Linked DNA regions of Canis lupus familiaris. The protein of the gene in region 1 interacts with the protein of each later gene in a pairwise test. Links are inferred from orthologs where the notes say so. Each region holds a gene or a part of one and is shown in the gene's direction. Other genes may lie near its edges. The genes, in order: PDCD4, EIF4A3 and EIF4A2.

The links.
Region 2: the proteins of PDCD4 (region 1) and EIF4A3 interact in binary tests that used the Homo sapiens proteins (3 or more experiments, as listed by UniProt). The two-hybrid records come from large-scale screens. The link is inferred for Canis lupus familiaris from reciprocal best matches to the Homo sapiens genes PDCD4 and EIF4A3.
Region 3: the proteins of PDCD4 (region 1) and EIF4A2 interact in binary tests that used the Homo sapiens proteins (3 or more experiments, as listed by UniProt). The two-hybrid records come from large-scale screens. The link is inferred for Canis lupus familiaris from reciprocal best matches to the Homo sapiens genes PDCD4 and EIF4A2.

The regions. Positions count from the first base shown.
Region 1 is NC_049249.1:22,436,588-22,440,234, forward strand, and holds part of PDCD4 (programmed cell death protein 4), read left to right. Parts: intron 1-1,158; coding exon 1,159-1,272; intron 1,273-3,647. UniProt on the Homo sapiens protein: Inhibits translation initiation and cap-dependent translation. May excert its function by hindering the interaction between EIF4A1 and EIF4G. Inhibits the helicase activity of EIF4A. Modulates the activation of JUN kinase.
Region 2 is NC_049230.1:2,443,783-2,447,529, forward strand, and holds the start of EIF4A3 (eukaryotic initiation factor 4A-III), read left to right. Parts: upstream 1-1,605; 5' UTR 1,606-1,664; coding exon 1,665-1,833; intron 1,834-3,553; coding exon 3,554-3,626; intron 3,627-3,747. UniProt on the Homo sapiens protein: ATP-dependent RNA helicase. Involved in pre-mRNA splicing as component of the spliceosome. Core component of the splicing-dependent multiprotein exon junction complex (EJC) deposited at splice junctions on mRNAs.
Region 3 is NC_049255.1:19,523,876-19,527,622, forward strand, and holds the start of EIF4A2 (eukaryotic initiation factor 4A-II), read left to right. Parts: upstream 1-1,459; 5' UTR 1,460-1,546; coding exon 1,547-1,575; intron 1,576-2,414; coding exon 2,415-2,460; intron 2,461-2,548; coding exon 2,549-2,681; intron 2,682-2,795; exon of another isoform or gene 2,796-2,864; intron 2,865-2,965; coding exon 2,966-3,105; intron 3,106-3,747. UniProt on the Homo sapiens protein: ATP-dependent RNA helicase which is a subunit of the eIF4F complex involved in cap recognition and is required for mRNA binding to ribosome.

The DNA.
Region 1 (3,647 bases):
CTTTACCGATTCATGTAGGATTATTGGATTGACTTTTTTTAAAAAAGATTTTATTAATTTTGGTGGGAGCTGGAGTGGGGGGAGAATGGGTATGAGTGGGGGGAGGGACAGAGGGAGAAGCACATTCTCTGTTGAGCAGGGAGCCTGATCAAGGTTCAGTCCCAGGCCCCTGGGGTCATGGCCAAAGCTGAACCAGACATTTAACCAACTGAACCACCCAGGTGCCCCAAGTTGACTGTTTTTCGATAAATTCTGTTGAGGTAATACAACAGAGTTTCTTTAGTAATGATAACTGGGAAGAATGTATATTCTTTTGAACATCATAAGATTTATAGATATGAGGTTTCTTTTAAAATATTACTGTTTAGGATGGTAACTCTGTGGTAAATTTTATTTGGGATTATCTTTTTTCTACTATCTTTTTTTCAGTGTTGAGAATGTAAATTTTGTTTTTTCTTCCTTATGCTGTACCTTTTATTCCCATAACTTGCTCCTTCCATAGCTGGAGGCCCCTCCCCTCTGGCAACTGTCAGTTTGTTCTCTGGGTTTACAAGTCTGATTCTTTTTTTGTTTACTTGCTTTTGATTCCACATACGAGTGAAATCATATGGTATTTGTCTTAGCCTTATTTCACTTAGCTTATTTCACTTAGATCCAAGAGGGTGTAAATTTTTAACAGATTTTATAATGAACATATATATTTTTAATGGAAAATTTCTAACTTAGACAATAAGTAGAATAGTATAACGAAAATGCTTGTACTCATCTCCCAGCTTTACCAACTTCAATAATTAATAACTCATGGTTAATCTTGTTTTATCCTGTACCTCCATATATTTTTCCTCTTGTATCCCCCTGCATGCATTCCGCACCCCAGGCTCTGGATTATTTTGAAACAAATCCCAGACATCATGACATCTGTTTTGAAGTACTGTCTTTGCATGAAAATAACACAAGGTGATGAGAATTACAGACCGGAAATTATATTGTTTTTATTCCATATTGTTTGTATAACTATTTTAGCTAATTGTTGAACATGGAAATATTTCTAAGAGAACATGAAAAAATGTAGGACTCAAATACCATAGAATCTTTGCTAAATATTCTAATATTGTCTGAATCGTTACGTCCATTAATTTATAACTCTTTCCCTCCCAGGAGAACTGTGTTTATGAAACTGTAGTTTTGCCTTTGGATGAAACAGCATTTGAGAAGACTTTAACACCAATCATACAGGAATATTTTGAGCATGGAGATACTAATGAAGTTGCGGTAGGTTTAAAATTGGAAGTATGATTTATTTAATATAGTAAAGAAAACACTGTTAAAAGAAAAACATCATATCCAAAATGATCTTGAATCACAGAATAAGTATTTTTTTTAAAGGTTTCATTTATTCATGAGAGACACAGAGAGTAGCAGAGACACAGGCAGAGGGAGAAGCAAGCTCCCTGCGGGGAGCCTGATGTGAGACTCGATCCCGGAACTCTGGAATCATGCCCTGATCCGAAGGCAGATGCTCAACCGCTGAGCCACCCAGGCGTCCCAAGTTTAAGCATTTTCTTTTGCATAAATGAATTTCTAAGAAGTGGAGTAAAATTTCTTTAATATAGATTAGCTCTTTCTTTTTTGGCATGTGATGAGGGCTATATGCCATTTTTTCCCCTGAAAAACAGCACAGTAATATTTTAACAATTATTGTAGTTATATATTTTTATAATTTATAGTGTATAAAATAATACTAATAATTTCTAGCATCTATAGACCTTCTTAAATCTCTTTAAGGATCTCAGTTAAAAATGACTGATTTAGTTCTATTTTTTTTTTGACATTCATTTAAATGCTCAGGATTAAGATAAAATTTATCTTTGTAGTCTATCCAAAAGAAAGAGAACATAGATACAAAGATTTGAAAAAGAATATATGCAGAAACCAAGAGAAAAAGTGTATTTTTGAAACATAATTTGTAGGATGCCTGGGTGGCTCAGCAGTTGAGCGTCTGCCTTTGCCTCCGGAACTCCAGGATCAAGTCCCACATTGGACTTCCTGCAGGGAGCCTGCTTCTCCCTTTGCCTATGTCTCTGCTTCTCCCTGTGTCTCTCATGAATACATTAATAAAATCTTAAAAAAAAAAAGAAACATAATTTGCACGGGAATATTTCCTGTGTTATGAATTGTTCATAAAGTATATCTAAAAAGGTAAAATAAAGCTACCTAACTAGGATTACAGACTTGAAGTACTAAAATGGCAACTTTTTTTTTTTTTAAGATTTTATTTATTTATTCATGAGAGTGACAGAGAGAGAGGCAGAGACATCATCGGTGGAGGGAGAAGCAGGCTCCCTGCAGGGAGCCTGATGTGGGACTCAATCCCAGGACCCCAGGATCATGCCCTGAGCCAAAGGCAGATGCTCAACCACTGAGCCACCCAGGCCTTCCCCCCTTTTTTTTCAAATTGCAATTCTTTGAAGGCTTTTATGATTTTTTTTTAAATTTATTTATTTATGATCGACACGGAGAGAGAGGCAGAGACACAGGCTCCATGCAGGGAGCCAGACGTGGGACTTGATCCCAGGTCTCCAGGATCACCTGGAGGTGATCCCAGGTCTTGATCCTGGACTTGATCACCTGGACTTGATCCCAGGTCTCCAGGATCACCTGGCGCCAAAGGCAGGCGCCAAACTGCTGTGCCATCCAGGGATCCCATGAAGGCTTTTATAATTTAGACTCTTATATTTCATACTGGGCTTTCTTAGTTTGTCTGATACCATGAGATCTGATATCCTTAGATTTGTAGGATTTGAACATGAATATTTGTTGGGTTTTTCAAAGATTTTATTTATTTGACAGAGAGAGAGAGAGCACAAGCAGGGGAGTAGCAGAGAGAGAGAGGGAGAAGCAGGCTCTCTACTGAGCAGGGAGCCTGACGTGTGGCTCAATCTCAGGACCCTGGGATCATGACCTGAGCAGAAGGCAGATGCTTAACAGACTGAGCCACCCAGGCGCTCGTAAAACAAATATTCATTCAGTACATACCATGTGAAGGAATTTGTAATAGGTTTTTCTTGCCCTTCTGAAGCTTGGCCAAGTGAGGAGAAATGATATTATAAACAGATTATTAAAATAAAATGTAAAGCCTTCTGTAGTAGAGGTGGAGTTTAAGTATTATAGGGGCAGACCATTGAAATCCTATCTAGGGCAGCCCCAATGGCTCAGCAGTTGAGCATCTGCCTTTGGCCCAGGGCATGATCCTGGAGACCTGGGATCAAGTCCCACATCAGGCTCCCTGCATGGAGCCTGCTTCTCCCTCTGCCTGTGTCTCTGCCTCTCTCTCTCTCTCTCTCTCTCTCTCTCTCTCTCTCTCTCTGTCCCTCATGAATAAATAAATAAAAAATCTTAAAAAAAAAATGAAATTCTATCTACCTAGCATAGGACTAGTGGTATACTATGTATACTTATTAACTGAGTAGTACTATAAGCGCAGTGTTATGGAAGCATAAAATTGAGATGATTCTGAGCTACATAAGAGTGATTAGAAGTTTGCCAGGGTAAGATGGTTGAAGAGTTTTCCAGAAAGGAGAAGTATCCCTGTTTGTTTGTTTATTTTTTAAGATTTTATTTTTTTATTCATGAGAGACAGAGAAACA
Region 2 (3,747 bases), on another chromosome or scaffold:
ACCTAGAGCAGTGCTGTCCCACAGGAGTATCATATACAGTGTAATTAAAACATTCTGGTAGCCATATTTTATTTTTAAAATTTTATTTATTTATCAGAGAGACACAGAGAAAGAGAGAGAGAGAGGCAGAGACACAGGCAGAGGGAGAAGCGGGCTCCACGCAGGGAGCCTGACGTGGAACTCGATCCCGGGTCTCCAGGATCACGCCCCGGGCCCAGGCGGTGCTAAACTGCTGTGCCACTGGGGCTGCCCTGGTAGCCGTATTTTAAACATAGGTGCAATGAACTGAAATCACATATTTTATGTGACTCAGTATATGTAAAATATTGTCATTTCAGTCTACAGACAACATAAAGGTCATTCACCAGGTATTTTACATACTTTCACCCTGAAACCCACGTGTACTTTACAACCCAGCCCTAGACCACAGCTTGCCAAAACTGTGTGCAACCTCAGAGAGGGCATCCCGAGGGCTTTGGGATGATGCTTCATGGAGTAAGAAGATGTAACAACTCACGTTTTATTTTAGAGTCTAAGAAAGTCAGGTTTAGAAATATTTAAATTCGACTAACACCAGCATTCTCTTCAGGTGTGTTCATCAGATGAACCATCCCATAGGGATTGAATATGTTGGGCCCTTAAGGCCAGAGCTTCTGCAGGCAGGTAGCCCTCGTTTACTTGTTCCCTGCCAATGAATTGTAACCCACTGAACTCTACGCATGTCTGGTTTAGTGGATGAAACGATTATCCGCTTTTTTTCATTAAAGATTTTATTTATTTATTCATGAGAGACACAGAGAGAGAGGCAGAGACACAGGCAGCAGGAGAAGCAGGCTCCCTGTGCGCAACCTGATGCAGGGTTGCAGGACCCCGAGGTCACGACCTGAGCCAAGAGCAGCCGTTCAGCTGCTGAGCCACCAGGCGTCCCAATTATCCACTTTTAAGTAAATGCACCTTCACAACAGAGGAGCACTCAAACAGCCCCGGAAGGACGCCGAGGATGAAAGGCCCAGTGATGGGAGCCACGCCAACGGTGAGACAGGGAGTGAAGTCCTCACCAAGGGAAGGGGCGCGCGCGACTCCCCGCCTGCAGCGGCGCAGGTCGGAGCCAGGTCAGGGGGTGACGCTGGTCCAGGAGGGGCTCTCGGGGACGTCTGGGCTCAGACGCGAGACTGGCTCCCGCGCCCCGAGGTCAGCAGCGCGGGCTCCCCTGCAGCGCGCAGGAGCCCGGGAGCTGCAGGTGCAGCGCAGCAGCGACGCTTTGCAAGTTCGCGCTGCACCTGTCGCGGCGAGCGGGCGCCCTCTGCCCGGGCCTCGGGCCTCAGGCCTCGGCGGGAGGAGGGTGCGGAGGGGCTGTGGGCTCCGCGGAGCTCCCCTGGGCCACCAGCCCCGTTGCAGACAACCCGCGCAATACGCGATCCCCGCCGCTTCGGCCGTATTTATAGGGCCTGGGCGGAGCCCCGCCCCTAGCGAGATCCCGCGGCAGCTTAGACCTCGCGAGAGCAGTAGCAGCCCCCGCCCCTCTCACGCGGAGAGCGGCTCAGGGTCCCGACGCACGCTCGTGCGCACGCGCGCGGTGACGTCAGTTCCTGGCGCCGGCGGCGCGGGGCCCTGCTTCCGCTTTCCTCCGCGGCGCGCGCTCCGCTCTCAGCCGACGCGGGATCATGGCGGCCGTGGCCACGATGGCGACCTCGGGCTCGGCGCGGAAGCGGCTGCTCAAAGAGGAAGACATGACCAAAGTGGAGTTCGAGACCAGCGAGGAGGTGGACGTGACGCCCACGTTCGACACCATGGGCCTGCGGGAGGACCTGCTGCGCGGCATCTACGCCTACGGTCGGGGGCCGCGGGGCGCGGGCGGGGAGGGCGAGGGCGCGGCCCGGGGTGGAGGGCGACCCCCGCCGGGCACCCTGCGCTCGGCCTGCGTGGGTGTCGGGGGTTCGGCGGGTCGTCCCCGGGCGCTTGGGGGGCGCTGCCGCCGCGGATGACGGGCAGGGGCCGGGCCCGCGCTGCCTGGGCCCCGAGGGAGCTCCGGGTACTTCGGGGAGCCGGGATGCTTCGGGCGCTGGTGATGGCTGCGAGGGGGCGGGTGGGGGCTCCCGGGGGGTTGACCTGTGAGCCCGGGTCTGCCCCGAGGAGCCCCTGGCACGACGGAGCAGCCGGTGCCAGTAGCCCGCAGCACGGAGCGGGGTGCTCTCCAGGGCCAGGAGGAAGCGCTCCGTGGTGGGAGCCCAGGGGCTACTCGGGAGCGGCAGGCAGGGCCGGATCTCGCCCAGCGCTCTGTGAGCTGAAGAACAGCTCGCATTTTGTTCCTAAGTGCAGAGGGAAGCCATGGGGTTTGAAGCAAGGGGAGTGGCAACGCTGGGGTCTGCACCCTCTGAGTCCGTGCGCTAGAAGGGGCATGAGAGGTGAGGCAGGGGAGGTGATGACGTTGAGCCGGGGAGGGGTTGAGGATTCCCCGGGCGTTGTGAGCAGCCGGTGGGTGCTGCTGGCGATTGCTCATGTGGGGAGCCCTCGGAGGCAGGGGAGTCTCAGGGGCCTGTGAGCCACCCGGCTGCAGGTGCCGGGAGCCTGGGGAGAGACCGTGTTGGGGGTCCAGACCGGGGCGATCAGCCTCTGTGCTGACGCCTGGGCCTGGAACTCCCTTTACCCAACAGTCCCTGGTGTTAGTTACCAGGTGTAAAGCAGAGAGGGGATGGGAGGTGACAAAGCGGAGGTGAGGCTGATGGTCCTACCCACCTCTCAGCCTCCCCGGCAGCCCTGCCCAAAACACTGTTTTTAGTTTCCCCGCCTGTGTGCTTGCTTGGATGGTCGCTGTGAGGGTTTTTTAAATCATCCGTGTTACAGTTTTAACTTTAGACGGGAAGTCCGGGCTGAGTTTTAAAAGGCTACCGAAGAGTAACTAAGATATATTTTATGCACGTGAGCTTTTGTTTACTTGGGAAATGTTTTTTTTACCCTCTCCAAGTAGCCTCGTTCTAGAGTGATGTCGTAGCTGGTGAAGCTGCATCACAAGTGGAAGGAGCGCAGCGGGCACTCCGCGGAACGGCCCGAGCCGTAGAGTCATTGCTGTGGCAGACAGCACAGACAGCGTGTAGAGCTGATGCAGAGAGGAAAGAGGGGGCGGCCACGGTGCCACTGGATTCATTTTTCTTTCTTGTAGCATAAAAAGTAATGGAAATGTTAAAAGAGCAGCGCAGGCTATCGTAACGTACGCAGTGCAGGAGGAATTGAAGTAAAAGATGAGCCTTTCCCATCCATTCTCAGGAGCACCACCATTAACATTTGGGTGTTTTTTTGTTTTTTGTTTTGTAATCTAACTGGGGTCTCTGCGTTCTGCAATGTTCCTTTTATAGAGATTTTGTCTGTGCACATAAGATCTGTGTTAGTGTAAAAATACAGTTCAACCCAATTCATTCAGCAGCTGTTTCTTGAGCTTTGGTGTGTTGGACTTTGCGCTAAGAGGGGTGGACGTGGGGGCTTAAAAAAAGATACCATCTGTGTCCCAAGGAGCTGCCAGTGTCCTCATGTTAGAACTTTCGCTTTCTTTTTACAGGTTTTGAGAAACCATCAGCCATCCAGCAGCGAGCCATCAAGCAGATAATTAAAGGGAGAGACGTCATTGCTCAGTACGTCACCGGTAGAGAATGGGGTTAGGTGCTTGTCAGCTGAGTACAGCGCTTTGAGGGGACCCCTGTTCTCCCTTTCCACATATGTGTCAGTAGCCCTTTCCTCAGCTTGAGCCACGGT
Region 3 (3,747 bases), on another chromosome or scaffold:
TTAGTAGGTTTATTGAGACAATAAAGATCTTTGACCTCCATTTGCAGAACATATCCCGCATTATCTCAAATCTGAATTTGAACATTATTACAGGGGGATTAATTAGGAGCAGCATCCCTAAACTGAGACCTACGCCTACTTTGTCATCTCGGTATTAGTTTTTCTCAGAGTTCTTGGCACAATAATTTTTTTTTTTGAAAGCAATGTATTTAGAATCAACCATCATACGCAGACGTAGAAAATTATGTCAGTTTTTCCAGGTAGCAGATCTTCGGTGGCCTTCTGAATTAACGAGAAAAATGTTTCCCTGATGATATCTCGCAGTGTGGGTAGTATTTTTAAAATGAAATGACTAAATGCATTGGGCCTACCCCAGGCCTGGGTCAGGGCTACAGTCGGAAACCTCCGCGGCTTCAAGAATCGTGCAGTTTATTTAAGCAGCAGGGGTTGTATCGCTCTCAATTTCCACTAAATCAACATGCATTCGGTATGAAGCAATTAAAGTTCAAAGCCTTTTGGGGGAAAAAAGAAAAGAGCAACATAGACCCGAATCAAAAAAAAAAAAAAAATCTATCTAGTCCCAAAGGGGGCACGGAGCTCTATCTGCCGGAAGCGTCCATTTAAATTCCTACGTTGTAAGGAAAACCAGTCCTTAGCTGTTAACCATTTGCAAAAGTTCAGGATGATTTTGTCGGGCATTCATTCCCCACGCGTTAGGGCGGTCAGCGTTATTTTTTAAGAGCGAGCGAGCGAGAGGAGACCGGGGGCAACCTGAGAGCAGCGTCGGCTGCCGCGGGGACCCCTGCAAAGGGCACTGCACGCTTTTGCCTCGCTTGGCACAGTGCCCTGCGGTGCGCCGGGGGCACCGGGCTTCGGGGACCTGCTCGGAGGCCGACATTTTCCCGAGCAGGAAGTTTTCACACTTTTAGGCTCTGGATGGGTGTTAAGCGCCCCGCCGAAGGCCAGGCGGCTCTTCCCCGGAGAATTAAGCCGCGGGGGGAGCCGGCGGGGCAGCCCCAGGTGCCCCCGTGCAGCGCGAGGCCGCGCCCCCGTCCCCGTCCCCGCCGCCGCCGCCGCCCCCACCCCCGGGCGCCGGACCGCAAGCTCGCCCCGCCGCCCGCGGGGAGAGGCCGGCCGCCGCGCACGCAGCCGCCCCGGGCTTCCGCCTCCCGGCCGCTCGCTCCCCCGGCCGCCTCTGCTTCGGGGCCGCGGAAACCCCGTAGGAGCGGGGCGGGCCGGGAGCGCGGTTTGGCCACCGCTTGCTGCAATATTCTTCCGCCGCGAGGCAAAGAGTCCCAGCCGCCCCCAAGGCCCCGGCATGTCCCGCGGCCCCGTAATATCGAGAAATAACCAAATTTGGGTTTTCCCACCCACTTGCTTGGGCTATTCTCCGAGGTAAGGACCCCAGGATCACAATTTGGTGGGCGACCGGAGAGCGACGAGAAAATTCCTCCGCGAGAAAACGGGTTCCGGCCGCGAGCCTATAAAAAACGGGTGGCGCGGCGCCGCTGTCTTTCCAGTCGGGCGCTGAGTGGCTCTTCGGATCATGTCTGGTGGCTCCGCGGACTATAACAGGTACGGCGCTGCCGCGGGGCCGGGGGTCGCGGCGGGTCGTGGCGGGTCGTGCGACGCCGGCGGAGGTGCTGGCGGTCGGCGAGCAGCCTGGGGGCTGCGGGTTCGCGGGCGTTTCCTGGAGGCTCAGCGCCTCTCTGCCCTTCGAGAAGCTTCCATGATGGGTAGGGCCTGGCCTGCGGGGAGACGAGGGTACAAAAACGGACTGGTTGGAGGGGCTTTTTTTTCCCCCCGTCCCCTCCCGAAGACGCCCTGGCATCCCGGGCGCGTCCCCCGCCCGCCGGCGCACGTTTTAGTTGAGCGGTGGCGCAGTCCGCAGTCGACACCGTGTAGCGGGGGGGGAGCTCTACCGGCGGCGGAAGGCGCGAGTTGCAGGCTCGGCTTTGGGCGGGGGGAGGGGACGGCGGCGCCCGCCCGCTCGCCGGCCGCGGCCTTGCGGGCGGATGGGGCCGCGCCGGCAACCGGGTCCCCGCGAACCGTTGGCACCGCTCTCGCCGGGCCGCGGCCCGCGTCAATCACCGCGGCTTGCGCAGTGTGAGGGGCGGAGCTCAGCGCGTGGAGCTCTCGCGAGACCGGCTGGCGCCGAGACGGGAGCGCCTGGCGCTCGGGCTGGGGGAAGGGCCGGCGGCCGTGGGCCTTTCCTGGGCGTCCCCTGTGGTCGGCCTTGGGGCGGGCGCGCACGGAACGTGACGGGCGCTGCGCCGCCGGCTCCCCGGACTGCAGGCGCGGGTGGTGCGCACGTGTGGGGAGAGTGGCCGGCCTAGCCTAGGCCGTCCCCGGGCCGTGCAGGTAAGAGGGCTGGGGAGAGGGACGTTCTCTAACTGCGGTGTTCTTGTCGGCAGAGAACATGGAGGCCCAGAGGGAATGGACCCCGATGGTGTCATCGAGGTAAGACCTCTGTGTTGGATTCTGGAACGTGGGCAAGGTGAGGTGTTCATCCGACTTACTCAGGCGTCCTTTTGTGTGTGATTTACAGAGCAACTGGAATGAGATTGTTGATAACTTTGACGATATGAATTTAAAGGAGTCTCTTCTTCGGGGCATCTATGCTTACGGTTTTGAGAAGCCTTCAGCTATTCAACAGAGAGCTATTATTCCTTGTATTAAAGGTAAACGAGCTAGCTAGCCCTTTTTGAAACATGCATTAACTGTTCTACATAACTGACCTGGACCATAAAAGGGAAAGTAACTTCTGGGGGAATAGCACCTGTTTGTATTCCTTAAAGTGAAATGATGGCAATCATCTTTCGGGACTGACCTGAAATGAAGAGAATACTCATTGCTGATCACTTGATTATTTGGGCATAATTAATGTTCCAAACGGAATACATGGTGTGAACTAGAAGTGGCGGTTTGATGTGGGATCGGTAAATATGTATCCTACTTTTTTTAGGGTATGATGTGATTGCTCAAGCTCAGTCAGGTACTGGCAAGACAGCCACATTTGCTATTTCCATCCTGCAACAGTTGGAGATTGAGTTCAAGGAGACCCAAGCACTAGTATTGGCCCCCACCAGAGAACTGGCTCAACAGGTATTGATAGTGTAGTTCAAAAAAACTGCTTGCGTGTTGCATAGGTTTCAGGTTTCACAACTGTGAAGAATTTAAAACTTAGTATAAATTGGTCCTATCGATAGGAGCCCTCCTAATTGTCCATGCATGCAGGGAGTTTTTGTTGAGTTAAAAATAGGAACTGGGTGTGCAGGTATGGTTTGCAGGGTTGTGTAACAGATTTGAGAAACCAAAGTGTTTTCAGGGTGGACTACATCTGTTCCCATTTTTAAGTTTGAATGCAGTTGTGCAACATGAAAACTGCAGTGACATGTTATTTGACTGTCTCAGTAGTTTGTGATGCATCTGTTGCATGCTATGTTTTCAAAGCTCACTGCTATATTGGCTTTGAAGTAAGACCTTGCTAATAAAACTAGGTTTTATTAAGGTCGAAAGGACGTAAGCTCCAGTACTTTGGGAAAGACTAAAGTTACCAACAAGTTGTCCCTAGATGTGCTTACTTACAGAGTTTGTTCCATTATTTACACCTTCCTACACAATGAAAAGCAATGTAGGAAATGATGTAACTAAAATCATTTAATTAACTTAGGTGGTATCTGGGGTAACAGGATCCCAAGTTTGACAAGGCACAAGGAAGACACGTTAAGGGACTTTTGTCATGAA